Linked DNA regions of Canis lupus familiaris. The protein of the gene in region 7 interacts with the protein of the main gene of each other region in a pairwise test. Links are inferred from orthologs where the notes say so. Each region holds a gene or a part of one and is shown on either strand. Other genes may lie near its edges. The genes, in order: ZMAT2, ARL6IP1, ferritin heavy chain, SYTL4, NT5C2, C28H10orf62 and FXR2.

Region 1 (4,386 bases), on a different chromosome or scaffold from region 7:
TCTAGAAGACGTTTCTTCTAGGACTGAGTTCCTGATGGACTTTGCAGTTGCTGGCCAGGATGGGTGACAAGTTCCTCTGCCTCCTCCATCCTTTCTGGGTACAAAGCTGTAGGAGGTCCTGAGGACTCCTGGGCTAGTGTGAGCAGCTATTCTGCATGGGTGCAGATGGCTGGTATGTGAAAGAGACATGCTCTAACTGCAGAGACAGATGGCAGATTTGAAGTGCCATGGAATGCTGCCAACAGGTGCTGAGATGGTTGCTTTGAGCAAGGCTCTAGGAAGGTTGCCCCAGGCTGGGACCATTGAGATAAGAAGTCAGATACGTGGCCTTCCATTGTGGCTTCTGAACCAGATTCTGGGAAATTTGTCCACAACCTGCCCTTGGCTTGTCCAGGGAGTATTGGGAGATAGCAAGGAAGGGGCAAATGGCTGCCTTCTCCTTTTGAGGACAGAGATGCTATCCTAAGGGCATAGGAGTGCTCATGGTTGTGGCATCTCTAGCTCAACTGCTGTTAGTAGAGTGAGGCTGTCTGTTTAGTAATTTTGAATGTTGAATTTAATAGGTGACTTGACAAGATGGTCTAATCTTTTGAGATTTTGGAGACCATTTCCTGTGCCAGAATTACTGCTCGACTATGTTCCATGTTGTCCTATGGAGGTGGCTGTTCTAGAAATGATTGGATAATAAATAAAATACTAAATGTAGTAGTTTGAGTGATTTGTTATCAAGAGATTGGTTTGCATAGGCCATAGAAAACCCTCAAGTGTACACTGCACAATTCTGAGAACTAGGAGCAACCTCCCTGGGGTGATGCTTCTGGATTCAGTGAAGGAAACAGTCAGTTTTCCAGTGCCCCCACTCCACCCCCCATCAACTTGGAAATACAGTCACGTCTAAATGAACATAGTGAGATGCATGCCAGAGTTCACCCTACAGCGTTGCTGATGACTGGCCTTTCCAAGTCCCATCATGTTGATTAAATTGTGCCCTATTGATTGAATGATTATAAAGTTCCTCAGTTGAAAGAAAAATGATTTAACCGAATGATGATAGCATTGCTTCAAAATAAAGAGTGTGCAAAAATTGCTTTCTATATATGCGCTGGAAAGGCTGCAACTTAGAGACACTGGGTGTCGCGGGCCATATCTTTAGTGCATACAGGTAAATAGGGCAGCTAGAGGCTCCTAATAATTCCTTCAGCCTTAAAAATTAGAAACTTGGCAAACGGATGCACAGTTGCTTAAGACTAGATCAAAGGGCCCTGATCCAAATTGCTTCCTTGTTTATAAAATAGACCAGTTGAATTAAATCAGATGATTGTTTAGAAAACCAAGGCAAAAGACATTAGTACGCGCCCTTACTTCCGTATTGCTTCATGCTCTCCATGCGCATGCACCATTTCCGTGGGTCAGAGGAGGGGCCGACGACCCTGTTTTAGAAGTCCTTAGCTCGTTTAGAACGCGAAACTCTAAGCTTATTGGAGGGCAAGCTTGCTTTACGGCTCAGGGCCGCTTTTTACGTCATTTTCCGGCTTCCCATTCACTTCGCAGTGAAGATGGCGTCGGGCAGCGGGGTAGGTGTTGTGTGTGAGGAGGCTTTGGTCGGGGGGCAGAGGGTGCCTTCGTAGCGCGGAATATCCTGCACCCAACTGGCTTCTCGACACCTCCTTGCGGCCCAATGGTCCGAGTTCAAGAGCCTCCTCGTAGGGTCCTGGCACAGGGTCTGTGGAATCGCGGAGAACTCTTGGGTTGGGGTCCTGAGGCCACCTCAGCCTTCTGGTGCGGTGTGGAGAGTCTTCGCTCTCGACAGGTCCGGGGGGTCGCCTTGCCGGCGTGGACGCGGTTCCCTCCGTTTCTCTAGGGTTCCGATATGATTAGCGACGAATCTTGAGCGCTTTTTTCCCTACAGACAAAAAACTTGGACTTTCGCCGAAAGTGGGACAAAGATGAATATGAGAAGCTCGCCGAGAAGAGGCTCACGGAAGAGAGAGAAAAGAAGGATGGTGGGTGCCTACTCCCTAAAGGGCAGAGGTATCGTAGAGGTGAAGCCATAGCTGGAGAGCGGGTGGGGAGTTGAAATGCGATGTCCTGGTTGGTACCTTGTGTAACCTCTGGCTGAATGTTGCCTCCCTGGTTCTCCATTTCTTACTGTATAAAATGGGAGGAAAGAGATGGACTGAATATACTCAGAGGTATTTCCCAGCTCTGTTTCCTGTGCTTTCTTGCCTTCTTTTTGCTTAGCTCGTTTTGTACTTTCTTCAAGTGCAGAGAAGAGAGGAGAAGCCTTAGTAGTGACAGAGATGTGGAGTATTTTGCTGCTATGCACTACTCCTATTGAGGAAACTCTTTCCGTTGAAGTCACTTAAGGGGAAGAATATAACTGGTCCAATCAAGTCCTTCCCCTGTGGTCTGAGAAGAGTGAGGGTACTGGGAGGAATGTGTGATTGTTTCAGCTGGTGGTTAGTAGTACTGTTTCTCTGCTTTGTACAATGTTACGGAGTTGATTCTCCTCTCCTAGTTAGAGAATCCATTATACAAAAAGAATCCTTATTTTTTCTTATGCTTTCACTTTACTTTCACACCACCTTGCACAAACTGATCTTTTTAGTTTTGATCTAATTTGTACAGTAGCAAGTAACAGATATTGCCTGAATGTTGGTCCCATTTAGAAAATCTTCCCCAGCCTTCTAGAGATTCTTTTTTGTGTGTTACACTTGGGGTATCTGTCTGAAAGTATTACTGAGTGTCCTTGCTTTTCTTTTAAAAGTTTACTCTTTGTGAAAATTAATTCCTTTCTTCAATTCAGTTAACAATAAAAAACTTTGTTTTTAGACTTATTGGCTTTGAAGTGGAAAAAAGCTATGTAGAGTTTAGGGATTGCATATCATTTTTTCCTGTGTTGAGATTCTCCCTAGTTGCTGCTACAAGTGCTTTTTGTGCCCCCTGCTTCAGGCTTAAGAAAGAAATGAAGAGTAGACATCTGTGTATTGGGTTTCATGCATTTCTTTTCGTTTCTGCTTAAGGAACTCTAATAATAAAAGGACTTTCTTCTGTCTTATATTTTAGGAAAACCAGTACAGCCAGTCAAACGGGAGCTTCTCCGGCATAGGGACTATAAAGTGGACCTGGAATCCAAGCTTGGGAAGACAATTGTCATTACCAAGACCACGCCACAATCTGAGATGGGAGGGTGAGTGACTTTTCATCTTTTTCAGGAGCCAAGACTAGGTCTAATAAACTGTGTTGATTTTAGCAAGTGTCGAGGAGAGGTTCTCTGGCTCCAGGATAGCAATCATGTTACTTATAATTCTATCTTTATTTTTATTTATTTTTTTAATAGTCCTACCTTTAGATATTTCTTTGTGTCACTCCTGTTCCAGGCCTCAACTAAACATGGTAGTGTCTCTAGGAGGAGTTACTCTGTAGACCTCTTCATATTGGCACTGTAACTCTTTCTTAATATCTGAAGAGGAAGAAATGAAGGAAAGGACTCCTGAAAACATTTCTAGGGGAGAGATTTCTCGAGCTAGAATGGAGCCTAGAAGCTGTTGATGGTGAATAAAGGGAGTTGAGGTTCCAGACTGGCTGCAAAGGTTGTAGTTGTTACGGATTGCTTGGTTGTACACTTTCCTCCTAGACCAAGACTATGACCCATGAGAAGAGGTGTCCTGTAAGGACTTTTGTTTTTGCCCACCACTACTACAGTATTCATTTACGTTTTCTAGCAGGAGAGCAAAACAGATAGCAATGAGTGACATGTCTGAATTGCTTAGAAAACTTACATCAGGGATCCCTGGGTGGCTCAGTGGTTTGGCGCCTGCCTTTGGCCCAGGGCATGATCTTGGGGTCCTAGGATCAGGTCCCATGTCGGGTTCCCTGCATGGAGCCTCCTTCTCCCTCTGCCTGTGTCTGCCCCTCTCTCCCCCCCTCCCTGTTTCTCATAAATAAATAAATAAAATCTTAAAAAAAAAAAACACCTCACATCATTCTTTTCTGTATTAGTTACCTATTCCTGTGTAAATTAACTAACTCACCAAAATTTAGCAGCATAAAACAGATAGCTAACAATTTGGGTAAGTAATCTGGAAAGGCTTAGGGTTTCACAAAGCTGCAATGAAGGTGTCTGCTGGGTCTGCATTCATATGAGGCTTAAGTGGGGCTGAATGATTTGATTGAAAGCTCTTTCATGTAGTGCTTTGGAGGCCTCACTTCTTTGCCCCATGGGCCTCTAGTGCTGTTGACAATAAAGCAAGTGGCTTCCCAAGAGTAAGACATGGACAGGCTATTTATTTATTTATTTTAATTTTAATTTTTGTATTTTTTTTTAATTGGAGTTCGATTTGCCAACATATAGTATAACACCCAGTGCTCATCCCGTCAAGTGTC
Region 2 (4,172 bases), on a different chromosome or scaffold from region 7:
GTATCTATCCACGGCCTGCATCTTACCTACAAAAGCCTAGTTTCTCCCCAAAGTGGCACTTTATTGAAGAGTCCCCTTCCTTCGCAAAGGCCTTCTTCCCCGTCTCCCCGCCCCTACCCTCCGACATCGTGGTAAAAAGTCACACCCTTCCCTGAAATTCACCGAGCTCTGGAGCCGTGTCCTCTCAAACTCTTAGGAACCTGGGTAGTCTCTTAAAGTCACGTTTGTGGCATACTACAGGTCATCATAAAGAGGACTTAAAAGGCCGGAACGTAAAAAGCCACGGTGAGGTCTTCCGGAAACCTCTCTGATCGGGTCAACAGGTCAATGTCCCATTTATAACCACTGGCATGGTTTCGTTCCTATTACGGAAAACCAAAAAAACGCTTAATGCATTTTGAAATCCTGCAGAGAAAAGACGTGGGAGTCATTCGTCTGGTGCTAAACTGCTTACGAATCCACCCCACCCCCACCCCCACCCCCGAGGAGGGCGGTTTACCTCCTTGCTTAGCAAGACCTCTCATCTCAGGAAGGAAGGAGGTTCGGTCAACACCTGACCCTTCACGCGGAGGGGCGTCGTCGTCTCCTAAGCAACCCAAACGCCCCGCCCCGCCCCACCCCACCAAGGAGTTCCCTTGGAGACGCCCACGAAGAAGCCGACTTTGGAGAAATCGGTGCTTTTCCCCTCCCCACCCCCACCCCCCACCCCCCGTGTTGGAGAACTAAGCCCAGATTGCGCTCCTCCTCCCCCGCCCCTTCCTCCATCCAGCTAAGGCCTTACTCCTGATTGCTTGCACGCGGCGGACTGCCCTTTCCTCCCGGGGTGGGCACGAGCGTCCGAGCCGCGGGGCCGGGGGAGGGGGAGGGGAGGGGGACGGGGGCCCGGCCGGGGCGGCCCGAGCGGCGAATGCCACCGAGTGGCCGCGCGGGGGCGCAGCGAGGGCCACCGATCGCAGCGAGGTCGGCGTCACCGCGCCGTCCTCCTGATAACGCGGGGCGTGTTTTGTTTCCCCCAGGACTAAATCCCGAGAGCTAGCGCGGCGGGGCGGCCACCGCGGGTCACGCAGCCCGGGACCGGGGCGCGGGGGGGCCCCGCCGCGGCAGTTCAACCGCTCCCGAAAGGCCTGGGCGGGGCGTCCCACAGCTCCTGGGCGCTGATTGGCCGCTCCTTGTCCCCGCCCCCTCGGCCTGCGCGGCCTCGGTCTCCTTTGACCCCGATTTCAAGCCATGCGCCGGGCCGCGGTTGGTCGGGCCGCCCCGGAGCTTGAGTTCAATCCACCCAATGAGGAGCGGGCTTCGCGGGGCCTGTCGGGAAGGCTGGCTGGTGTATATAAGCGGCCTGCGGGGCGTCCCCTTCGCGCCTGGGTCGCCGTGCGGGTCTCGGCGCGGAGCTCGCTGTGTGCGGGAGGGGCCGGCTTGCGCTCGCTCGGGCGGCACTTCAGGGACGATGGCGGAGGGAGATAATCGCAGCACCAACCTCCTGGTGAGTCGCGAGGGGAGCAGGCAGGGGCCTCCGGGCTTGGGCGGGGGCTCAGCCTGGCAGCGCTCTTGCGGCCTCGTTCCTCCCACCGTGGTGGGCCCGGCCCTCCTCCCCCTCGGCCCCGGGTGGGTGCAGCGGGGCGGTCCCGGACCGGGCGGCCCTTAACACCCCGTGGGGCAGCTACGGGGCGAGGTGAGGACGGCGCGTGACCAGCCCCCGCGGATCGGGGAGGAAGTGGGAGAAGGGGGGGCTGCGATGAGCCTGGGGCGCAGGCCTCCAGGGGCCTGTCTGTCGAGCGCTTTGAACCCCAGGCCCCCAGGCTCTTCTACGGGGTTCCCCTCCTCTTCCCTTCGTTCTTTAGCCCCAATACTTGGGCAGGGGTGGGGGGAGGGGGGAGGACGGGAGAGGGGCGGGGAGGGTCAAAGGGCCACTGGCGAGAATTTGCTGGAGCTGGCGCAGCTTAAACCCGCAGGGAGGCTGTGAACTCACCGCGGGGAACTGGGATTAGAGGTCCAGCTGGAAGGACAGTGGGGAAGGACCTTGGGTTTGCCTGGAGTTTGCAAGGGAGGGGTGTGTGTGTGTGTGTGAGAGAGAGAGAGACAGGTGGACTTTAGAATAAGCAGGGGTCTGAAGGAACTGCAGTGGTGTCTCACGGGCGGATAAATCTAACCTACTTGTTTTCACGGCGCGATCTAGGCAAAAAACGAGAGAAATCCTTGCCTTTTTCTTTTCTTTTTTTTTTGTCCGTTGCCACAACGAAACAGCATTTCATCCTTGACGTTGGATATTCCAAGAGCCCGGGTGCTAACGAGTTTGGTGACCTTGCAGGGCAGCCGTGATGGTGCCAGATTTTCGTTTTGCATTGGTGTTTAGAAATGCACGGCCTGTTCCTGTAACGCACATGCCAGCACACTTGTCTGTGGCTAGCCGAGTTAGCTCCGGCCAAGTTCCAGTTAAGGGGAATTGATCGAAGCACAAAGAAATTGTCCAGCAAATTCACACAGTTTGTTGAGGTGACCGAGCCTGGCCCGAAGCTCAGCTGCTCTTTCCAGCAGAAAGCAGTGTAACTTTAAGCAGAACAAGGCCCTTGGCTTTGGATTTCCTGGGTTCAGATCTCTTAACCTCCATGTATCTGTTACTTCATCTGTAAAATGAGGCGAGTAACAATACCATCCTTTGAATTCATTGGGAGGATTAATTAAAGTATAAGCATATAAAATACTTAGAGCTTCTGGCACATAGTAATCTTCTGTTTAACTATATTAAGCGTGGTGTATATAAAGTCAGGAATGTTGAAGTCCCCCAAGTAATCAGTGTGGCACAGATAGATAGCATCTCTAGTAAGATTAGGCTGTCCTGTCCTCTCTCTTTTGTATATTTCCCCATGATAACATTTATAAGGGCATGTGGGTTTCTTTCTAGTTTTTTTCCTGTACCAAAATCAGTATAGGGTTTTTGTTTTTGTTTTTTTGTGTTTTTTTTTGCCACATTAGCTCATTCCAGAAGTCTACTTTCAGCTAGGTTGTCAGTCTTGCAGAGAAATTTGAAGTCTAACCAAATGTTCTGGTAAGTGTAAGAAGCACTCATTGTATGGAGATACACTGAGCTTGAGATGCCTCATGTAATTTGGTGAAAGTAAGTTTTACTTAATTGTGCAAATGATGCCAGCATCTAAAGGATTCCATTACACAGCGCTATTTTAAAAATTGAATGCTGTTCAGAGAGAGGCTTTCTTAATGGATTTAGAAGTAGGAGTATAAATCAATGAGATGACAAAACAACAGATCAATCAATTCTAACCACCTGAAAAATGAGCACATTTGAAGTGATCTAATTTTATATTTTGGGTGCTGCCACTTAGTGCATGACTTTGAGAAAGCTGGTTACCCATCTAAGGTCACTTAGATGGACCTTATCCATAAGGTCTTATAAGGATAAGGTCTCTTATCCCTACTTTGAGGGCCTCTACTAGGATTGTTAACATTATGTATGAAGAGTAGCCCAGTGCTTGGACTTGGTGACTTGGTGACTGTTAAATGGTAGGTTGCCACCTCCCCCCCCCTTAATTGATTTCTGTCTTGCTACCAAAATTGCAGAATTATTTAGAAACTAAGATAGTGATTTGATTGAGGGCTCTTTTACATTCTTGGTGTCTTAAAAAAAATTAACTGAGAAGCACAGAAATGTTGGGAGTGGTAAAATGATCACTTTACATGTTGGTCTTGTGTAGGCTGCAGAGACTGCAAGTCTGGAAGAGCAGCTGCAGGGATGGGGAGAAGTGATGCTGATGGCTGATAAAGTCCTCAGATGGGAAAGAGCCTGGTTTCCACCTGCCATCATGGGTGTGGTTTCTTTGCTGTTTCTGTAAGTGAGCTATTAAATTATTGTGGATTGTGCTTGTTATTAATAAGGGCTCAGGTAACACACAGCCTCTTTTGTAACCTATAATCTGTAAAGAATGCCTTTTCTTGGAGCAGTTCTCCTAGTTTTCAGTAACCTAAACCAGTTGAATAAATGAGTGGCTCTCACACTTTTTGGCCTAAAGAACCTTTATATTCCTAAAAAGTATTGAGGACCCCAAGGGGCTTTTGTCTCTTGATGTTTACATTAACCATTGCAGCTATGATGTCATCATATTCTGAAGCTTCCCAGAAAACCACTTGTGAGAAATTTAGAATGAAAAGGGCAGATA
Region 3 (4,207 bases), on a different chromosome or scaffold from region 7:
ACTTTAATAAAACACAAATCCCTCCCTAGGCATGTCATTTTGGTTACTGTGACTGAACTACAACACCTCAGCAGATTTCACAAAGATGACCTACTAAATACATTTCTAGCCCATCCCAAGAACTCAAGAAACAACAGCTGGGTACCAAATTACTTTATTTGAAGGAATGATACAAACGAAAGAAGTAGATGTTTCGGTACAACTTATAGAAAAGGTAAAGGTAACCCCAACATGCATGCACTGCCTCGGTGACCAGGGAAGTCACCCTGCGGCTATGGGAAGACAGCCTAAGGCTTAGCTCTCATTATCACTGTTTCCCAGGGTGTGCTTGTCAAAGAGATACTCTGCCATGCCAGATTCGGGAGCCCCCATCTTGCGCAGGTTGGTTACATGGTCACCCAATTCTTTGATGGATTTCACCTGCTCGTTCAGGTAATGAGTCTCAATGAAGTCACACAACTAGAAGACAGAATGGGGAAGAATGTTAACGGTACACTTTCCCAACCCCTAAAGAGGGAAATGACTCCCTCCATTCTCTCCCAGACTGCCAACACTCACGTGGGGGTCATTTTTATCAGTGGCCAGTTTGTGCAGTTCCAGTAGTGACTGATTCACGCTCTTTTCCAAGTGTAATGCACACTCCATTGCATTCAGCCCATTCTCCCAATCGTCACGGTCTGGTTTCTGAACGAGAGGAGAGGAGGTCAGGTCAATGCACGTACAGCCTCTACCTATTATTGCCCAAGTCAGCAAACACCTAACATGCAATCGTTGTGCTTTGGCAAGAGGGACATCCCAGTTTCTCCCACAATGGTTTCCAACTTAACAGCCTTGTGCCCATTACCGTTCACCTCCTTCAACTTAGAAGATAGGCTTAAAAAAACACAGAAGCCAAAAGTACTTCATTTTATAAGAGCAACTGCTAGCTTGAGGGATTTCTGACACCCAAGGACTTGCCGGATAGATGAGACACAGGATCTAAGATGTTTTGTTCACCTTAATATCCTGAAGGAAGATTCGACCACCTCGTTGGTTCTGCAGCTTCATCAGTTTCTCAGCATGTTCCCTCTCCTCATGAGATTGGTGGAGAAAATATTTGGCAAAGTTCTTCAAAGCCACATCATCGCGATCAAAGTAATAAGACTGAAAAGAGAACACGAACATGTTCTGTTAGGAATTGCCAAGCCTAGCCTTTCTTCCTCAAAGTCCAGCAAGAAAGGAGTCTGCACTGAAGACCGCGGACAGGCTGTGCTCTTGGACAGAACACAACACTAGTCTGTACTCTAAAACACAAAAATGAAACGCAGTCCTGGACATTTAAAGTTTACTGCAAGGAACCTTTAGAATATCATAGGGAATTGCCCCCAGCAGATAAATTCTTAAAGCCCTATATGAGAGCAAACTTCTTCTGGCCAGTGTCGCATTTGATTGGAGAGGGTGTGGGAGTATTTACCCTGTACTCCCTAACTCCCTGATTAAACCCATGTTAAAACATGAGCTTGCCAGCTTACAGCATACTGACGGATCTCTAAGATTAACCCATTAGGCAAGGTGACAACTGCTGGCAACGCTAAGCTGTACAAAGAAACTGCCAGCAGAAAACAGAAAACTTGATTCCGTTTTTAGACACTCGCTGAATCCAGGTGTTCCTGAAATGGAATGGCAGTCGCGGAAATCCAGGCCTATTTTCAAATTCATCTGGAACAGGTCTATTCTTAGATAATTTGCACAATCGTAAGGCAATCCTTTTTCTTTTTTTTTTTCTTTTGCAATCCTAAGGAAAACGCCCACCACACCGCCTAAAACCAGGATTTTGGAAAATGGATTCCATCGATCAGCACGGAAAGTTTCCTTGCCCAGTGACTGTTGGTGTAGTTTATTCTAAAACCAAGGGTTCAGCCACAAAAGGATAAAGTACTAAATGCCCGGGCAAGAGGACGGATGACTAAGACAACCGTGTGCGCAAAAGGGGAGATTTCCCTGCTTCAAGTGGGACTGGGCGATAAGCAGAACAGAGCGGGTAGCGATGGCTGCTCCAGAGTGGTCGGCCCCCGGGAGATAAGCCACTGAGCACCAACCCCCGCCCCCAACGGTTGCTATTCGACACCATTACCCAGCAGGCTCCGCCAGTCGCAGGGAGGACGGGGGCTGGACCACTTCGCCCCCGTCACCCAAGCAAAAGGACAGCCTCGGGGCCACGTGATCGACACGGAGAACAGGATGGAAACGCACACCCCGCTTTCCTAACTGCAGGATTGTGCCGGTTGCAGCTGCCGCAAGTCGGGGATTCCTTGAAACCAGGCTCTCTCTAAATACGAAGCGGCGCGCAGAGGCGGCCCTTGACTAAGAGGGAGCCCTCCCAGGGGGCCGTCAGAAAGGCCGAGCCGGCCAGAGTTTCTGCGCACGTCCTGAGAGGCCTCGAGCAGCGTCCATTTTCCAGCAGGGCGAGCAGGGGCGGGAGGGCCCAAGCGTCAGCCACACCCCCGCCCCGCCCCGCCGCCCGGAGCCCGGAGCCGAGCGGCGCTCACCATGGACAAGTAGACGTAAGACGCGTAGAGCTCCAGGTTGATCTGGCGGTTGATGGCGGCCTCGGAGTCCTGGTGGTAGTTCTGGCGCACCTGCGAGGGGGACGCGGTCGTCATGGCGGAGGCTGAGGAGAGGCGGCGGCGGCGGCGGCTGCGCGGCGCTGGGGCGGCGGCGGCGGAGGCCTCGGGGCGGTCCGAGAGCGCTGCGTGGAGGTGGCCGAGGGCTGGCTCTGAGCGGCGGGCCCGGGGAGGGGAGACGAGCGCCGGGTTCCGTCCAAGCACTGTTGAAGCAGGAAGCCGCGGCGACTCTCGGCGGAGACTGGCGCAGACCGCCGAGGCCCCGCTCTTATAGCGGGATCGGGCGTCACGCCCACTCCAGCCAATCAAGACGCCCGCCCGCGCGCGGAGCCCCGCCTCTTCCGGCGGGCGCGCGACCCCGCCCTGGGGGCGGTGGGGGAGGGGCGGCCCCGCGCGGGCTGAGGCGGCGGGCGTGTGGCCGCGCGCGGGGCGGGGCGGGGCGGGTGTCCTCGGCGTCCCGGCTCCCGCGATGGGGGGGGGCGGGGAAGAAGTGCGGTCGGGGTCGGGCGCGGAGCCCCGGCGCCCGGGGCTGGGAGCCGCCGGCACGTGTCCCCTGAGCCGTCCGGGCGGGCTCCCCGAGACATCCTGCCCCGGGGGCAGGTTAAAAGTCCGGGCGGCGGGGCAGCAGTTACCACACCCGGGGGGATCTCCTCGGGCGTCACCTGGAAAGTGGCAGTGGGAGCCCTAGGAGGTTGCGTCAGTTAGAGGTGGGGCGGGAGGGGCTCGCTCTCCCTTCCTCAGGGTCCGGCCGGGAGCGACACGCGGACGGGCTGGGGTCCCGGGGGCCGTCCCCGACCCTCGCCAACATGGCTCCCGGTGCAGCTTCCCCGACAGAGGCTGGGCGGGCCGTGGTTCCCGGGGAGATGCGGTGAGCGGGCGCCTTCGAGGGGGAGCCGTGAGGGACGAGCCCCCGGGGCTTCTGAGAAGATCCGGGGACGGGTTAGAAAAGGGAGGAGAAGCCACTGGGGATCTGGAGACGGAGCCATCTTGGAACGGCTGCCTTGGCGCACCCGGGTCAGGCCACAGCCGGCTCAAGCTGAGGAGATCTCCCGGGGAGCCACCTCCTGGGGCTGCCCCTGCGGAGCGGCCGGTGGGCACAGTGTCCACGGGACCGGGCAGGGCAGGGCAGGGCCGCCGAGTCCCTTCCTTCCAGGCGCCCGCCCTGTCGGCCGGCTTCCAGCTCCACTGTTCGCCACCAGGTCCTTCCGCACGGCTGGGAGACCTCGCCGAGGCCCTTTGGACGCTCACAAACATGAAACCTTAAGCTGAACTTCGCAACCTCAACAAAAAGAAGGCAGGCTCTAAAATGTTAAAATTCGTTGCTGACGGAATTCTGGTGATCTCTTTCTTGGGTCTCTACTGTTTTCGTTTCGGAATGAACATTTTACCTTCAGGAAAAAAAAATTTTTTTTAGGTCTAAAACTACAAAAATAAAATAAAATAAAATAAGCAGAAGCCTGTGGGAGAGTGTAGACGAGGAGTGCCTTATCCAGTCTGGGATAGAAGGCCAGGGAAGGCTTCCCTAGGAAAGTGACAGTTGAGCTAAGTCTGAAGAAAAAGCTAGAAGGAAGGTAGAGTGGAAGAGAATTCCAAGTGGAGAGAAC
Region 4 (3,590 bases), on a different chromosome or scaffold from region 7:
GTTGGCCACCAGCTGCCCTATCTCACAGACACGCTTGAACGCTAAGGGCTACAACAGGCCCCTCCCCCCAAAACTCACTCTTTTTCTGGTCACCCCCAACAGGGAGTTTGGAGGCTGGGATGTATTTCAGTGAAACCACCAACTCGCCTTTGTGTGATGTCAAGCCAGTCGGGGACTCAGCACTGATCTGAAACACAGGGAAACCCGACAGGTCATGCTGGGCTTCTCAGGAGTTGTTGGGACCTCTCATAGAGGAGATCTGAAAATTAACCCCAAGAACAGCTTCATGATGTAAGAGAATCCTCCTTATGAATACAATCCTGGGACCTTTGGCCATGGCAGCCACCGGTTTCCAAGGCAGTTCCTTCAGAAGGAGCTACAGAAGAACCAGCTAAGTCTTCTGCTATGCCCACTATTTTGCTACTTTTGGGGATACAGTTACTAGATTCTAAATACCCACAAAGGTCTTCCAGCAAAGTTGCCACAGACTCACTGATACCATGACGAAGAATCTTACTACCAAAAAAAAGAATCTTACTACCAACATCGTTAGTAAAAGCCCAAAAGTATAAACAGCCTAAATGGTAGTGATCAATATAGAAAAGGTTAAATGAGTGATTTTAATGCCCGCATATGGTGATTGTATTATGGCATGCAATCATCAAAAAGAATGCATGCAGGGAATCCATACATGCTGACTCCAAAAGCTATCCAAGATGTACAGTTAAGTCAACAAAGCAAAATGAAGAAAAAGCATCCCATTTATATTGAAATATGTTAATTTGTACATGTGAATATGTATGTATATAAATACTGGTTATTATCATTATCACTTATATTGTATCTACTACATGCCAGGCACTGTTATAAGTACTTTATGTATGTCATTTTGTGTCATCCTCAAGATAATCCCTATAGGTACTATTATCTCTATTTTACAGATTATGGAACAGGGAGATTAAGTAACTTGCCCAGGGTCACACAGCAATTGGCAGAGGCAGGACTCAAATTCAGACAGATTGGTTCCAGAGTCCATGCTTTTAACCACTATACTACATGGCATAGAAAAACCCAGAAGGATACATATAACACTTGTTTATTCTACAGAGAGGACTAGATTGGGGAAAGGAAAAGGGGCTTTTACTTTTTCCTGTGTATATGTGTACAGTCTTTTTAAAGAGAATGGTATGTATTGCTTGTAGGATTTTTGAAGGTGAAGAGTATTTTTTTAAAGAGAGCTTGCAAAGATTTGAGGCCTAAGTGGAACTCTGTTACAAGGATTTGAACATGCCACAATTTCTAACTTTATATTTATTTGTGCTACTTTTGATTAATTGGCTGTCTCTACCACTAGAACCTACATGCCAGGAGGATAGGAATCACCCTAGTCTTGCTCAGCCTAGTATGCCTGATACTTAGCAAAGTACCTGACACATAGTAGGTACTCCACAAATATTTAAGGAATGAATGTAAGAGTGAATGCATGAATGTGCGGAATGAGCAGCAACTGGCCTATTATCTTTGGCTGTTGGGACCAGAATTGCTTCACTCTATTGGCTCTCTCGGCATGGTTCTGTTCTTTACACTTTTGTGTCCAGAACATGAGCTGGTGCAGATCAGACATATCCTATCACCTGCCTGTGGTCACTGGGGCTCCTCTCACCTAGGTCTTAGCATAGAGTATACTAATGCCAGGAAGGTATAATCCCCTTTGGTTTGGAAAAATGTACACATACCCAGAATGTGTACATACAGTTTACTGTGTGGGAATGATACAAAAAAAATAGGGAGGTGGATGCCAAGAAGAGAAAACTGGATGGGAGCAAATGGATGGCTAAGGGGGAAAAAGGATAGATCAGAGGCAATAAATGTAGAATTTTTAAGTTAAAATAGATATGTGATGCCGGAGTGGACTTTTGGTTGTTTATGAATGTCTACAAACTTATTAATTTCCAGATTGTGAACTTCAGTAGACTCTTAAAATTGGAGTTTAGCCTTAGCTAGAAATTGGTGTATTTTTTCAGTGGCATATTTCCATTCTAGCTCAAAATAATTTTGAAGAGCAAATGTCTCCATTGTAATGCAGTTTTTTTTCTTCTGATGTAAGACACTTTTATTGGCAGTAGGACGTAATGGTTTATGGTGACATTTCCAATATAATTATATCAACTGTAGGCCCCTCAATGATTCCTGTGTCAAATGCTTAAGAAATTCTACATTTCTGGCTCAGTTGGTTAAACATCTACCTTCAGCTCAGGTCATGATCCCAGGGTCCTAGGATGGAGGCCTGCATCGGGGGGCAGGGGGGTCCCTGCTCAGCAGGGAGTCTGCTTCTCCCTCTTCCTCTGCCCCTCCCCTAGCTCATGCTCAAACACACACTCTCTCTCTCAAAAAAAATAAATAAAATCTTTTTTAAAAAAGAAATTCTACATTTCTAATAATATGCTATAGTTTGGTGATAATTGCCTTCCTGTTTTTATTAGTATTTAAAGGGGCAGATTTAACATTCTTAATATTTTTTATGAAAGGCTGTAGCTATCAAAATATTGCATGACTGACTCAGCAATTCTACCACTAGAAATTTCTCCTACATTACCTCCACATAAGAAGGCCAAGATAAGTTACAGCATAGTTTTAACAGCAAAAAAAGCAAACAATTTATATATAGGCAAATGAGAGAATACTATACAGCAATAAAAATGAGATAGATATGTAAGTGATGGCAGAGAAAGATGCCCATGATAAACAATAAATTGTTAAATGAGAAAAATCAAGATACATGTACACTATGAGGTTCATATAAGCCTATTTGTATAAAATGGAAAAAATATAAATCCCTGCATGTATGCTGGGATTATCCATGCTGCTTAATATAAAATCTCTGCAAAGATATCCAAGTAGCCGATAACAGTGGTTATTTCTAGGGAATTGAATGTACTTTTCTCCTAATGTACTTATTTCTACATCATTGTAATTTTGAAACACATGCAAACAAATCCTCTTACTCTTAATTTTTTTAAAATAAGCAATACACATAGACATGGTAAAAAGTTCAAACGTTCTAAAAGGGCATATAGAAAAAAAACTAATTTGTTCTCTCACCTCGGTCTCTCTTCCCAGAGGCAGCCACTGCTACTGGTTTCTTGTCTATCTTTCCAAAGAGTCTATGCACCACGTACTATTTTTAGCATCAAAAATGCCAATGTAAAAAAAAATTTACCAAGGAACCTTGCCATTGAACAGTTCATATCATGATTCAATCCTAACTCTGTTTTAGCAATTTCATCTTAACTGGAATGACAGTAACCTACTGAATGTCCATTGGCACTTTGTGGACAATCCTGTGAAACAGGAATATTATTGTTACCTCCACTTTGTAGATGAATAAACTAAGACTCACAGAGGTTAAGTGATTCACCTAAGTTATTTTATAAAAGGGGTGACTTACCTAGCTGGCAATTAACAGAACAAGGATTCAAATCCAGATCTGCACTCAGATCCCAGGCACTATTATGCACACTGCTACAATCTCACCTGAGATGCCATCTCCAAAGTAAAATTTTCCCTGGCTTGTGTGACAAAAAGCACAA
Region 5 (4,028 bases), on a different chromosome or scaffold from region 7:
TCATATTTATCTCTGTTTTAAAAACTAAGCGATAAAAAGCTGTATTAAAAAAAAAAAAGAAAAGGGATCCCTGGGTGGCGCAGCGGTTTAGCGCCTGCCTTTGGCCCAGGGCGTGATCCTGGAGACCCGGGATCGAATCCCACGTCGGGCTCCCGGCGCATGGAGCCTGCTTCTCCCTCTGCCTGTGTCTCTGCCTCTCTCTCTCTATCATAAATAAATAAAAATTAAAAAAACAAAAACAAAAAAACAAAACAAGACAAAAAAACAAAAAAACAGGGCTGCCTGGGTAGCTCAGTGGTTTAGCGCGGCCTTCAGCCCAGGGTGTGATCCTGGAGACCTGGGATCAAGTCCCATGTCGGGCTCCCTGCATGGAGCCTGCTTCTCCCTCTGCCTGTGTCTCTGCCTCTTTCTCTGTGTATCTCATGAATAAATAAATAAAATCTTAATTAAAAAATAATAAAATTAAATTAAATTTGAAAAAAACAGGGCAGCCCAGGTGGCTCAGCAGTATAGTGTCATCTTCAGCCCAGGGCATGGTCCTGGAGACCTGGGATCGAGTCCCACATCGGGCTTCCTGTATGGAGCCTGGTTCTCCCTCTGCCTGTCTCTCTGCCTCTTTCTCTGTGTCTCTCATGAATAAATAAATTTTAAAAATCTTTAAAAATAATAAAAAAATAAAACAGGGCAGCCCCGGTGGCTCAGTGGTTTAGCGCCGCCTTCGGCCTAGGGTGTGATCCTGGAGACCTGGGATGGAGTCCTACGTTGGGCTCCCTGCATGGAGCCTGCTTCACCCTCTGCCTGGTCTCTGCCTCTCTCTTTCTCTCTCTCTCTCTCTGTGGGTCTCTCACGAATAAATAAATTTTTTTAAAAAACATGTTTTAAGTGCTTTCTTTCTCCCATGAAACAGCAAAAACAGCCTAGAGACAGACGAATGAACATCCCTCCTCTTAACATTCCACTGTAATTTGGCTTTCTTTAGGAAGATACTTCTGATGCACAGAAAGACCTGCAGATACCCTAAGTAACTATCTCTATATATAAATCTTCCTACAATTATAAACTTTTGGAAACTTGTGGCTAATTGTACATTTTCATGCAATAGAATCAAATCTTAGAACTGAAAGAAATCTTGCAGTACATCTCCTTCAGCCTTCTCATTTTACAGACTGATTATTAAATTCTAAAATCCAAATTCTAGGTTAGTGAGAATAAATGCAGAAACCTTTAAGAGCTGAAATTGTATTGGCTAATGATGCAAACGAAATGTATTTCAGAAATAAAGTCTGTGTGTGCTAGCATCAGCCCACCATGTGGAGTTCTGATTTTAATTACTAACTAGCTGTGTTTTACTGAACTGAACTTCTACAGGCCTGGATATCTTCATCTGGATAAATTCCAACCATTGTTGAAAAGTGTCCCAGTAGGGGCTCCTAGCTGGCTCAGTGGTAGAGCATGCACCTCTTGATCTCAGGGATGTGAGCTGGGAGTCCAACCTTGGGCATGAAGCCTACTTAGGTAAAATTAAGAAGGAAAAATGTCCTGGTAAATATAAAAAACAAACAAACAAACAAACAAACAAACAAAAAAGACCTCAATCACATTAAGTTTCCATGGTAAACGGTTCTGTTTCAACATTCTTCCTTTCAGGTTACAGTTAGCATAATTTGCATCCGCTGTCTTCAGAGGCAAATTTAACAATGTGCAGACATTACAAAACAAGTACAGCTCAATTAAGAAGCCGTCCGCACCCGGACACGCAGACGCGTGCGCGCGCACACGAGCCTATAAAGGAGACTAGTCACTGCGGAGCCCTGCGCTCCACAACGCATCCCTCAAACCTGACGGCCCCACCACGGACAGCATGGACAGCACCGGAAAACCGATGACGGCGAGCTCTACCTGCTGCCTTTAAAGGCTGGGGCCTACTAGCGTCAAGCCCTCCAACGCTATGCTTGCACGTCAGGGCTCGGGCCTCGAGCTGCATCGCGCCCTCAGCGCTCCGCAGCTTCAAGGGTCCCCGGGAAGGAAAGCACCGGGCTGGCCGGGACAGCTGGCCCGACTCGGGAGCCGCGAGGAAATAACGAGCCCGGCTGCGGCGGCTTGCGACTCGACGGGCGCTTTCCAGGAAGTGCTGCAACGGAGCGAACTGGATGCGGGTACCAAGCTGGCGTTTCCTGCGGCTGGGACGGCGCCTCCGAGCCCCGCGGCTCGCGAGCTCCTCGAGGCGCACCCGGAAGGCGCAGGCGGCGGGGGCCCTCGAGAGGCGGAAGGAAGCCCGCGGCGGCCGGGAAAACTGGGCACAACCGGGGAAAGAAGCGCCCGCGGGGGCGCGGGGGGGGGGGCTGCCTCCCGCGTGAGAAAAGCGAGGGAACAGGACACGGCGCTCGTGGCTCGAAAGAGACCGACGGAGGGCCGCGCTCCGCGGGGAAGGCGGTCCCGGCGAGCGGGCGGCGGGGAAACAATGGCGCGGGCGTGACGTGGGGCTGGGGGCGTCGCCGCGGCGCGGAGGCACGGGCTGCTCCGAGGCGGGGGCCGGGGGGCCGGGGGGGCCGCGCGGGGCCGCGCGGAGGCCGCGATGGAGAAGGGCCCGAGGAGCGCAGCGGCCCGGGCGGGCCGGGGCCGGGGCAGGGCCCGGGGCAGGCGGCGGCCCCCCGGCCCGAGTCGCGCGCTCGCTCGCTCGGCCGCTCCCTCCCGCCCTCCCGCGGGTCCCGCCGCACTCACCGACCCGCCGCACGGCAGCAATCCCAGCGCGCAACTGCCGCAGCCGCCTCGGCGCGCGCCTTCCCCGCCCCCGCCCCCGCCCCCGCCCCGCCCCCGCCCCCGCCCCCGCCCCCGCCCCCGCCGCCCCGGCACCGCCCCCAGCTCGCGCCCGGCCAGGGACCGGTGCGCTGTTCCTTCCCCAGCTCCGCCGCAGAACCCGGCCGCCGCGACGCTCCCTAGCCGCGCTGCCGGAGCGGAGCCCCCACGCGGGCTTGTGCCTCAGGCCCTAGCGTGGGTTTGAGAGGTCCACGACAGCACAGGAGTTGTGGCCGAGCCGCGGGATAACGCACGCTGACGGCCCTTACACGTCTTTTCCGTCTCCATCCCTTGGCCTTGCTCCCAGCCCCTCAGCAAGGCCCTGGACCACCTTACCTTGCCCAGTCCTACACTCTGACTGCTTTTCCTTAGGGGGATGGGGCACCCTTTTTCCCCCGAACACTGAATCTTCTAGTCAAACGGACCCCAGAGCCCCTCTAGTCCAGACCCCCATACCCCATAACACAGGCTTGAATCTCAGCTTTGGAGTTCGTCAGAATGGGTTGGAATTCCAGGCCCACCACTTAAAAATTGTGTGACCTTGGGCAAGTTACATGACCTCACTGTACCAAGTTCCCTCATCCATAATACAGGAACAGATAACAATAGTACCTACCTCATAGGGTGTCACAGGATGAAATAATAGAGGGAAAGTCCCCGGCACAGCCTTGCACACAGCACTCCATAAATATTAGTTATATCGACCCCCTACCATAACCAAGTCGTTAGACTCCCCAGTGACAAAAGCCCACTATTTCCAGAGCAAGGCATTCCTCCCTTTTGGCAGCTCTTAGACCAGTTAGAAAGTGTTTCTGAAACATCCACTCTCTGGCCCACGTCCTACCCCTTGGGAGCCTCAGAGAACAAACAGGTCTAATTTCTCTTTGACCTTCTACTTTATAGATATTTGAAGATTTCTGCCCCAGGTTCTCTGTTATTCTAGACCGGTGTCTCCCATTACTGGAGAAGGGAAAGTCTTTGTCTTCATTGTCTTCATGTGCCTAGTAGGTTAGAATGTGGCTCCTTTAGAGTATATCACCCAAAATAGAACCAAATGTTTGTAGTACCATCAAGAGCAAAGCCGTACCCTAACTTCCTCTTTGCAGGACTTCCATTCAGGCAATAAAGTTCATGGCACCCACACTATTGACTCATAGAACTTGCCTTCAACTAAAACTCCAAGACTTTTTTTTTTTTTTAAGATTTAATTTATTCATGAGAGGCACAGTGAG
Region 6 (3,389 bases), on a different chromosome or scaffold from region 7:
AGCAAGCAGCCCCAGTCCCAGCCATAGTGATAGAAACAAGAAGAGAGAGTATACACAGCACAACAGCTCTGAAGGTAGGTGGGGGGAGGCACTAACGGGGATCCCAGTGGGCCCCAGAAAGCAGGTGGTGCAAGGAGAATACACTGCAGTGCAGGAGGCCACACAACTTGAGAAGCAGTGGACAGGGTGAAGATGACACTAAGAGGACAGGAGACCCACCTCCCACCTTGCCTACTAGCTTCTAGAAGCCTGGCCTTCCCCCCATCTCCTGACATCTGGCTGCTTCCTCCTTCCCTGGCAACAGCGGGTTGGTGGGTGCTGAACTCCCTGGAGACGTCCCATTCTCAGAACCTGAAGACTCAGGGAAGCTGATTTATGGAGTCTTGAATCAGTAAAAGGCCCAGGCCAAGGGCCACATGAAGAGGACTATGGGAGCAGGAACCCTCTTTCCGTATGGCTGCCCAGTCCTGAGGCTGGCCACAGAGCCCCCAGACTCAGAATGAGGGAATACAAGGCTTTATTGGCTCAGTTCCAGGCATTAGGCGTCAGTCTGGGGCTCTCAGCTACTCCTGGGATCTGCCTCGCCTATCTTCTCTGTGGGCCTTCAGGGGCCCGTGAGTCTGTCTTGGCCGCTTCGCTTCCTTCCACTCGCCCTCCATCAGGAGCCGTCCTCTGTGGCATACCCTACTCACAGACTGGGAGGGGCCCAGGACCCCTGAGGGGGTATGAAGGAGGGATTTGGGCAGCAGCATCTCACTCTGGGCCACACAGGCTGCCCCACAGGAGAGAGAACAGGCCTGCAATTGTGTGCCAGCCTTGCTGGGGGAAGGGGTGTCTCCACCCATGGTTAGGTGGCTTCAAAGGGTTGACAGATCTGGTGGCTGCGGTTGGGCAGACTGTGGCTCAGGTGGCTCTGGTGGCTCGGATGGCTTGGATGGCTCGGGTGGCTTGGGTAACCCTGGTAGCCAGGGTGACCATGGCCATGGAAGGCATGTGTTTGGTTCATGCCGGCTACAGTGGTACCCCGCTGAGTGAGAAAATTCCCTTTCAGCTTCAACTCCACCTCCTCCAGGGCCTTCAGCTCCTCCTGGTTGATGTCTTTGGACTCCAGGTGGCCTGAGTTCTGGTAAGTCGTGGCTCGCTGCAACATGGAATTAGCCAGTTGCTGTCCCAGGGTGTTGATCTCCTTGGTACAGGTAGCCACAGCGGCCCATGTGGCCGTATCCGTGGATGGGGATTTTCCAGACTCCCTGTGGGTCTCTTTGGTCACCGAAGACCCGGACATCCTCTGCTTACTGGTGAAGGACTCCCGGCGCACAGCCGTGCCCACTTGGCCTTGCCTTGTGGTGACAGTCTCCATGCGAATGGTTGTGCTGGCTTCCCCGCTGCCACTCTCGGGGGAAGAGGCGGTGCTGCTGCTGCAGGCGGCCAGCTTCTCTTCGGAAAGGCGGCTAAAGTGAGATTTAATCCAGTTCTCATTCTTTGCTTTGTGACATTCTGGTGGCTCCTGCTCATCTCGTACAGACTCAAGGGATGCCTTCCTTCTCTTCTTCCTCTGAATCCACAGCATGAGGCCTCCACCTCCGAGTAAGAGGGCAGTCCCCAGCACCACCTTGCATGATGGTTGCTGGATGAGCTCCAAGAAGGCCTCCAGGACCCTAAGCCAGGCAGGCAGAGCTAAGAGCACGCTGGGAGGGGGGAGCCCGGATGGTATGGTTCATGCTTGAAAGGGCAGGTTCCCTGAGGCTGTCTGGCAGGCAGGCCCCCAGCTGTACCCTTCCTAGGATGCCCCTCCCGCCTCAGCAATGAACCCCATTGTGAGCAAGGTTAGGGGGTGGGGTGGGGAAAGGCCTAGGCACCCTTCACGTCTAACCTGGCAGGTATTTCCTGAGGCCCAAGTCCTGTCTCCCACCCTGACAGCTGTCCCTAAGGTCAGTGGAAAAGCAGCTTTCCTTCTGTCTTCTGCTTGTGACCCATTCTTCGACTCAAACCTTATTTTCCAATCTTTGGTCTCTTTCCCTCTCTATCCAGTGGCTCACTGACCATGACTGAAGGACCCCCTTGGTTAGGCTGGCATCCATTCCTGGCTGCCTGATGTTGGTGTCTCCTTTGGTTCAGGGCCCACCCCTTCTGCCAGCTTAGCACATTTCATCCCCATCTGCAGCCCCAACCCCTTTACAGAGCAGGGTTCAAAAGGAAAGGGGCCCAGGAAGGAGCTCATTCTAGAATAATATGAGGTCACAACTGGGTAGAGACAAGCAGCGGACTGAGAAGCCAGAGCAGATAGGATAGGGGACTTCACCAGATCCCAGATTCCAGATCCCAGGGGCTGTCCCAGGATAGGGACTGCTACCTCTTACCTTAGTGATGCACCTGCATACCCAGAATTTGCTCCCCTTCCCCTGGGCCCTGGTTAAATGGACACAGTTTAGACTGTGAGCAGGTGAGCCACCTGGCCAGGGTCTCTGTAGGTACAGATAATAGAAAGCCTGGCCCACAATCCCAAATTTCTATCCTCTCAGGGTAGAAACAGGCCTGGGCCCCTTTATTTTTCTCCCAGAGGCATCAAACACATTTTTTTTTAATGCATTTCACTTTTTAAAAGTGAATGCTAAAGTAAATGCCAAAACAGCATTGTAAAAATTGTGATTTTTTTTTAAAACAAAATATTTTATTTAAGAAAGTAATGGCTTTAATATGCACAGTAGTATCTTAGTCTACGTACTAAGGGAATAAGATACAAGCTCAATGTTTTATGGGGAACATCATCTCCCTTGTCCTACTGAAGTAGCTCTGTGGTCATCTACTAACCTCATTTGGAAATAACAATTCAAAGTTCATCTTTGAGGTTGTTTGTGGGAGTGAGTTCAGGGCCAAATGGTCCCTCCACAACAATTTTACCCTCCAGTCACTAGTTTTCATTTTAAAATGATACTCTTTATATAAATAATCAGTAAAAATTAACAGTGCAAAAATAAGAAATAAAAGAGAGCTACACAGTTTCAGGCAATAGCTTCCAGAAGAATATCTAACTTTTCACCTACTCATCAAGGGCAGGTTCCCACCTCCTCTTTGGAAGACTTTTAACTTATTGCAGGAGGCCCTGGCAATGTGGTATGCAATGGCTTCCTCCTCTGCTCCTGAGTGTTGGGTTGCAAAGCCAACGCCGGGGGCCAGAATTGAGCCAGAGAAACATCATCTGTAGAGCAAAAGTTGCTCACAGTTCCTTTCCTGGACATTCTGGCTGTGTCCCGGGAGCAGTGATGGGACCCTTGGCTCTATTCTTTGTGCCAGGGCCTCACACTTGAGCTCCTTGGGAGGAATGCATTAACCCTGTGGCTCAGTTCCATTCTAAAATGAGGAAATCAGATTAGAGAGGTTCAGTGATT
Region 7 (3,590 bases):
CCCAGACACCTGTCCCGGGTCCCTAACACTCTGCAGGACTTAAGCAGACAAAAATATGTGAAAGCAAGCCAGAACCACCTTGGATCCACAGACCCCTGGGACCTGTATGGAGAATTCAGGAACCAGCCATTCCACTCCTACCTGGCGAACACCAATGGCTTGGGGTGGGGGTGAGGGAGGTAAACGAGGGCAGGGTTTGGGCTGGGAGCCACCACAGTTCAGGATTTGGCTCTGACACTATCTGGTTATGTGACGCTAAACACAACACACCCTCGGGGCACCTGGGTGGCTTAGCGGTTGAGCCTTCAACTCAGGGCGTGATTCTGGGGTCCTAGCATTAAGTCCCACATGGGGCTCCCTGCAGGGAGCCTGCTTCTCCCCCAGCCTGTGTCTCTGGTTCTCTCTCTGCGTCTCTCATGAATAAATAAGTAAAATCTTTAAAAAAAAAAAAAAAAAAAAAAAACACAATACACTCAGTGTCTCTGTTCTGTCATCTGCTGAACTGTTCCACCTGACTCATCCCACTCCCAGACTATCAGAAGGATTAATTAAGGCTGGTGTGAAAGGCTCTTTCACAAGGTAAATGTAAGAGTAAGGAACAATTACTCTGACCAAACTAATATCAACTCCCAAAATAAAACCCAAAAAACTGAGTAGAAAGCAAGAGGCTGAGAAAGCATATAAAGAGCTATGGAAACCACACTACCACTTCCTCTCTCCATCAGTCCTCAGATACCTGGGCACAAGGGCAGAAAGACATGGAAGGTTCTGGAAGAGGAAGTCCTAGGTAGAAGCACCAAACAGGAAAGCTATTTGAAAGGGGTCATTCCTGATCCCAGTCCACTACATCCTACTTCCAAGATGGGTGGGACTGTATTATGGCAAGGACTTACCTCAGGCAAGAAGGGGATGGACAAAAAGGGACCACGCTGGGTATTCAAAATAACTGCATTAGGGAGGAAAGGAGAGGCTCTACGATGATTTACAAATGTTCTCTAGAAGTTTGCCAAGAGTTTTATTCTTAAACTGCCTGACGGGTACAAGTGTACCTAATATACTATGTTTTTCCTTTATGCAGACAATTATTTCAAGATAATTTAATAAACAAAACAGAAAAAAAGAAGAAAAACAAGATCTCTCAAAAACAAGACTACATGTACGGCCAACTTAACTATCTTTTTCAAAGACTATTTATTTGAGAGAAAGAAAAAGTGAGGGCGGAAAGGAAAAGAAAGAATCTTGAGCAGGCTCTGTGCTGAGCACGGAGTCCCAACTCAGGGCTCGATCTCACAACCCTGAGATCGTGACCTGAGCCAAAATCAAGAGTTGGACACTCAACCAACTGAGCCACCCAGGCGCCCCATATCTGGCACTCTTTACCACACTGATCAATACAACCAGGTCCTAAGAAGAGTTGAAGTCTACCTTTTGTCACCAGGGAATCTGCTCGTTGGGAACTTGAGCAGACATAATTTGTATCATCTGGGGGTAATGGTGAAGTTCTGCCAGTGCCCTGAGTAGCATCCCTGGAGAAGTGACAGACCACTATGATTCACAATGTGCACAGGCTCGGAGAAAAGCCTACCAAAAAGATCAGTTCTATTGATAAACGGAATGGATGTGCACACACACACTATTTGTATAGGATGGTATGGCACCTAAGCAAAGGGAATCTGACCATCCTAAGATATCAGAACTCAAAAAGACCTTGTTGAAATATTTTAGTCTAAACACCTCATTGTCACACAGATAAAGCTCAGTGAAATCAAATGATTTGCCAAAGGTCAATATTTGACAGTGGTCCTTCCAGAATACAAATGGTTCTCAAATAGACCCTGCAAAGCCGTTTGATTCCCAGAGGTGATCTGGGGGAGGCCAGTGGAGGTCCGGGTCACACTCCCTTCTTCTACTTAGGCAGAGCTTCTCTGATCTGTTTTAGGCATTGTGTTTTCAAGTAAAACTTCACTTGATCAAAGGGTCCCATGGTTAAGAAAAAAATGAAAACAACTGTACTATTATAACATGATGAAGCTCTGCCATCTGGAGGAGTCTGGGAAAAAATAGCAGACCCAGGTTTAATGGCCCAGAAAGACCTTAGTCTTTTTGTTCTGTAAACACAAGAGCATGGGGGGAGGATGGGATGGGAAGGCAGGATGATAACAATACCATTCAGCAGTATGAAGTGAGGCCTAAACTTACTTCCAGGTGCTTGGTAGCCTCCTCATTGCGGGACATGAGCAGGAGTTTGGTGCGCAGGCTTCGAAAATGCATGTCACCCAGTAGAGACGCCCGCTTCACAGGGGCTTCTGTAGTTGACTGGGAAGAAACCAATGGACAAAATCATTGAAACTGACTTTGAATACACAACGGGGAAGACCCAGGACTGGGAACCAGGATGCCTCAGTCTCTGGAAAAGGACAGGAGTTAAGAAATGAAATGAGAGAAGAGAAAAATCACTATCAGTTTCACAAGGGCCTACTATTATCAGGGTACCTAAGAGAAGTGATTTTAGGCAGAGGGAGGGGTGAGAATCGTATAGTCTATTTTTTCAGAGCCCAAATATGCAAGGGAAGGTCCAGACTGCAAAAGGATGGCCAGGCTTAAAAAAAAAAAAAAACTTAAGGTCATACGTGAGGGAAGACTCAGGAAACATGGCCTGGGCCCGCAGGGGTCAGGAGCCATACAAAAAGTCTTCTTTGACAAATAAACAGAAGCACATCTGAGCCCCTTCCTTTCTGCAAAGGAGTTAAAAGGGGAGGAAAAAAAAAAAATCACTGAGAGGGTTTACGTTTTAAGTCAGGTCAAATAACTCACCAGAATGAAGAGCTCACTATTTGTGATGTTGAGAAAGATGCAGTTCGCTCCCAACGCTTTCTTGAACTCTTTATGGACATTTTCATTGGAGCAGCTGCCAAGGAAGAGAATAGTGCTCAGTGGGCACAGTGTGCAGTTCAGAGGTTCAGAGAGATGGGGATGACAAAAATGAGATGAGGAAGGATGGGGGAGGACGAGGAAGACTGACAGTACAAGAAGGGCCTGGGAGGGATCCCTGGGTGGCTCAGTGGTTTGGCACCTGCCTTTGGCCCAGGGCACAGTCCTGGAGCCCCGGGATCAAGTCCCACATCGGGCTCCCGGCATGGAGCCTGCTCCTCCCTCTGCCTGTGTCTCTGCCTCTCTCTCTCCCCACCCCATAAATAAATAAATAAATCTTTAAAAACAAATAAACAAAAATAAGAGGGGCCTGGGAGAAAGGTGGGCCAACAGGAGGACTGTCAACGGAGCCCCCATCCCGATGTCCCTGACTCACGCCTCTCTCAGATCCTCAGGCACAGCCATGGTAACCTTGAAGAAGCTGCCTTTGGTTGCAAGGGGATTGGGATTAACTGGCCGGAGCCGTTCCAGGGTGACAATCTCATTGTAAGTGGCATCACAGGCAGCGTATTCGATGACGTAGAACTGGCAGAAAGGAAGAAACAAGTGTGGATGACCTGAGCGTCTGTCCCCCCCCTTTTCTGTGACTATGGTCCGTGCTTCCCATCACTCACATCTCCCTTCATCATCCGCACCCGGGCCAGCCACCAGCCGCAAGG

The links.
Region 1: the proteins of FXR2 (region 7) and ZMAT2 interact in binary tests that used the Homo sapiens proteins (3 or more experiments, as listed by UniProt). The two-hybrid records come from large-scale screens. The link is inferred for Canis lupus familiaris from reciprocal best matches to the Homo sapiens genes FXR2 and ZMAT2.
Region 2: the proteins of FXR2 (region 7) and ARL6IP1 interact in binary tests that used the Homo sapiens proteins (3 or more experiments, as listed by UniProt). The two-hybrid records come from large-scale screens. The link is inferred for Canis lupus familiaris from reciprocal best matches to the Homo sapiens genes FXR2 and ARL6IP1.
Region 3: the proteins of FXR2 (region 7) and ferritin heavy chain interact in binary tests that used the Homo sapiens proteins (3 or more experiments, as listed by UniProt). The link is inferred for Canis lupus familiaris from reciprocal best matches to the Homo sapiens genes FXR2 and FTH1.
Region 4: the proteins of FXR2 (region 7) and SYTL4 interact in binary tests that used the Homo sapiens proteins (3 or more experiments, as listed by UniProt). The two-hybrid records come from large-scale screens. The link is inferred for Canis lupus familiaris from reciprocal best matches to the Homo sapiens genes FXR2 and SYTL4.
Region 5: the proteins of FXR2 (region 7) and NT5C2 interact in binary tests that used the Homo sapiens proteins (3 or more experiments, as listed by UniProt). The two-hybrid records come from large-scale screens. The link is inferred for Canis lupus familiaris from reciprocal best matches to the Homo sapiens genes FXR2 and NT5C2.
Region 6: the proteins of FXR2 (region 7) and C28H10orf62 interact in binary tests that used the Homo sapiens proteins (3 or more experiments, as listed by UniProt). The two-hybrid records come from large-scale screens. The link is inferred for Canis lupus familiaris from reciprocal best matches to the Homo sapiens genes FXR2 and C10orf62.

Annotation. Positions count from the first base shown.
Region 1 is NC_049223.1:34,979,001-34,983,386, forward strand, and holds the start of ZMAT2 (zinc finger matrin-type protein 2), read left to right. Parts: upstream 1-1,510; 5' UTR 1,511-1,556; coding exon 1,557-1,574; intron 1,575-1,909; coding exon 1,910-2,003; intron 2,004-3,066; coding exon 3,067-3,190; intron 3,191-4,386. UniProt on the Homo sapiens protein: Involved in pre-mRNA splicing as a component of the spliceosome.
Region 2 is NC_049227.1:26,551,314-26,555,485, forward strand, and holds the start of ARL6IP1 (ADP-ribosylation factor-like protein 6-interacting protein 1), read left to right. Parts: upstream 1-1,324; 5' UTR 1,325-1,447; coding exon 1,448-1,483; intron 1,484-3,710; coding exon 3,711-3,844; intron 3,845-4,172. UniProt on the Homo sapiens protein: Positively regulates SLC1A1/EAAC1-mediated glutamate transport by increasing its affinity for glutamate in a PKC activity-dependent manner.
Region 3 is NC_049239.1:55,066,947-55,071,153, reverse strand, and holds ferritin heavy chain, read right to left. Parts: upstream 2,822-4,207; 5' UTR 2,643-2,821; coding exon 2,529-2,642; intron 1,144-2,528; coding exon 997-1,143; intron 685-996; coding exon 559-684; intron 460-558; coding exon 295-459; intron 294-294; 3' UTR 204-293; downstream 1-203. UniProt on the Homo sapiens protein: Stores iron in a soluble, non-toxic, readily available form. Important for iron homeostasis. Has ferroxidase activity. Iron is taken up in the ferrous form and deposited as ferric hydroxides after oxidation. Also plays a role in delivery of iron to cells.
Region 4 is NC_049260.1:74,947,820-74,951,409, forward strand, and holds part of SYTL4 (synaptotagmin-like protein 4), read right to left. Parts: intron 188-3,590; coding exon 79-187; intron 1-78. UniProt on the Homo sapiens protein: Modulates exocytosis of dense-core granules and secretion of hormones in the pancreas and the pituitary. Interacts with vesicles containing negatively charged phospholipids in a Ca(2+)-independent manner.
Region 5 is NC_049249.1:15,808,114-15,812,141, forward strand, and holds the start of NT5C2 (cytosolic purine 5'-nucleotidase), read right to left. Parts: upstream 2,805-4,028; 5' UTR 2,722-2,804; intron 2,207-2,721; exon of another isoform or gene 1,900-2,206; intron 1-1,899. UniProt on the Homo sapiens protein: Broad specificity cytosolic 5'-nucleotidase that catalyzes the dephosphorylation of 6-hydroxypurine nucleoside 5'-monophosphates.
Region 6 is NC_049249.1:11,037,652-11,041,040, reverse strand, and holds C28H10orf62 (uncharacterized protein C10orf62 homolog), read right to left. Parts: upstream 2,197-3,389; 5' UTR 1,571-2,196; coding exon 848-1,570; 3' UTR 501-847; downstream 1-500.
Region 7 is NC_049226.1:32,723,140-32,726,729, forward strand, and holds part of FXR2 (fragile X mental retardation syndrome-related protein 2), read right to left. Parts: coding exon 3,546-3,590; intron 3,457-3,545; coding exon 3,308-3,456; intron 2,909-3,307; coding exon 2,815-2,908; intron 2,317-2,814; coding exon 2,200-2,316; intron 1-2,199. UniProt on the Homo sapiens protein: mRNA-binding protein that acts as a regulator of mRNAs translation and/or stability, and which is required for adult hippocampal neurogenesis. Specifically binds to AU-rich elements (AREs) in the 3'-UTR of target mRNAs.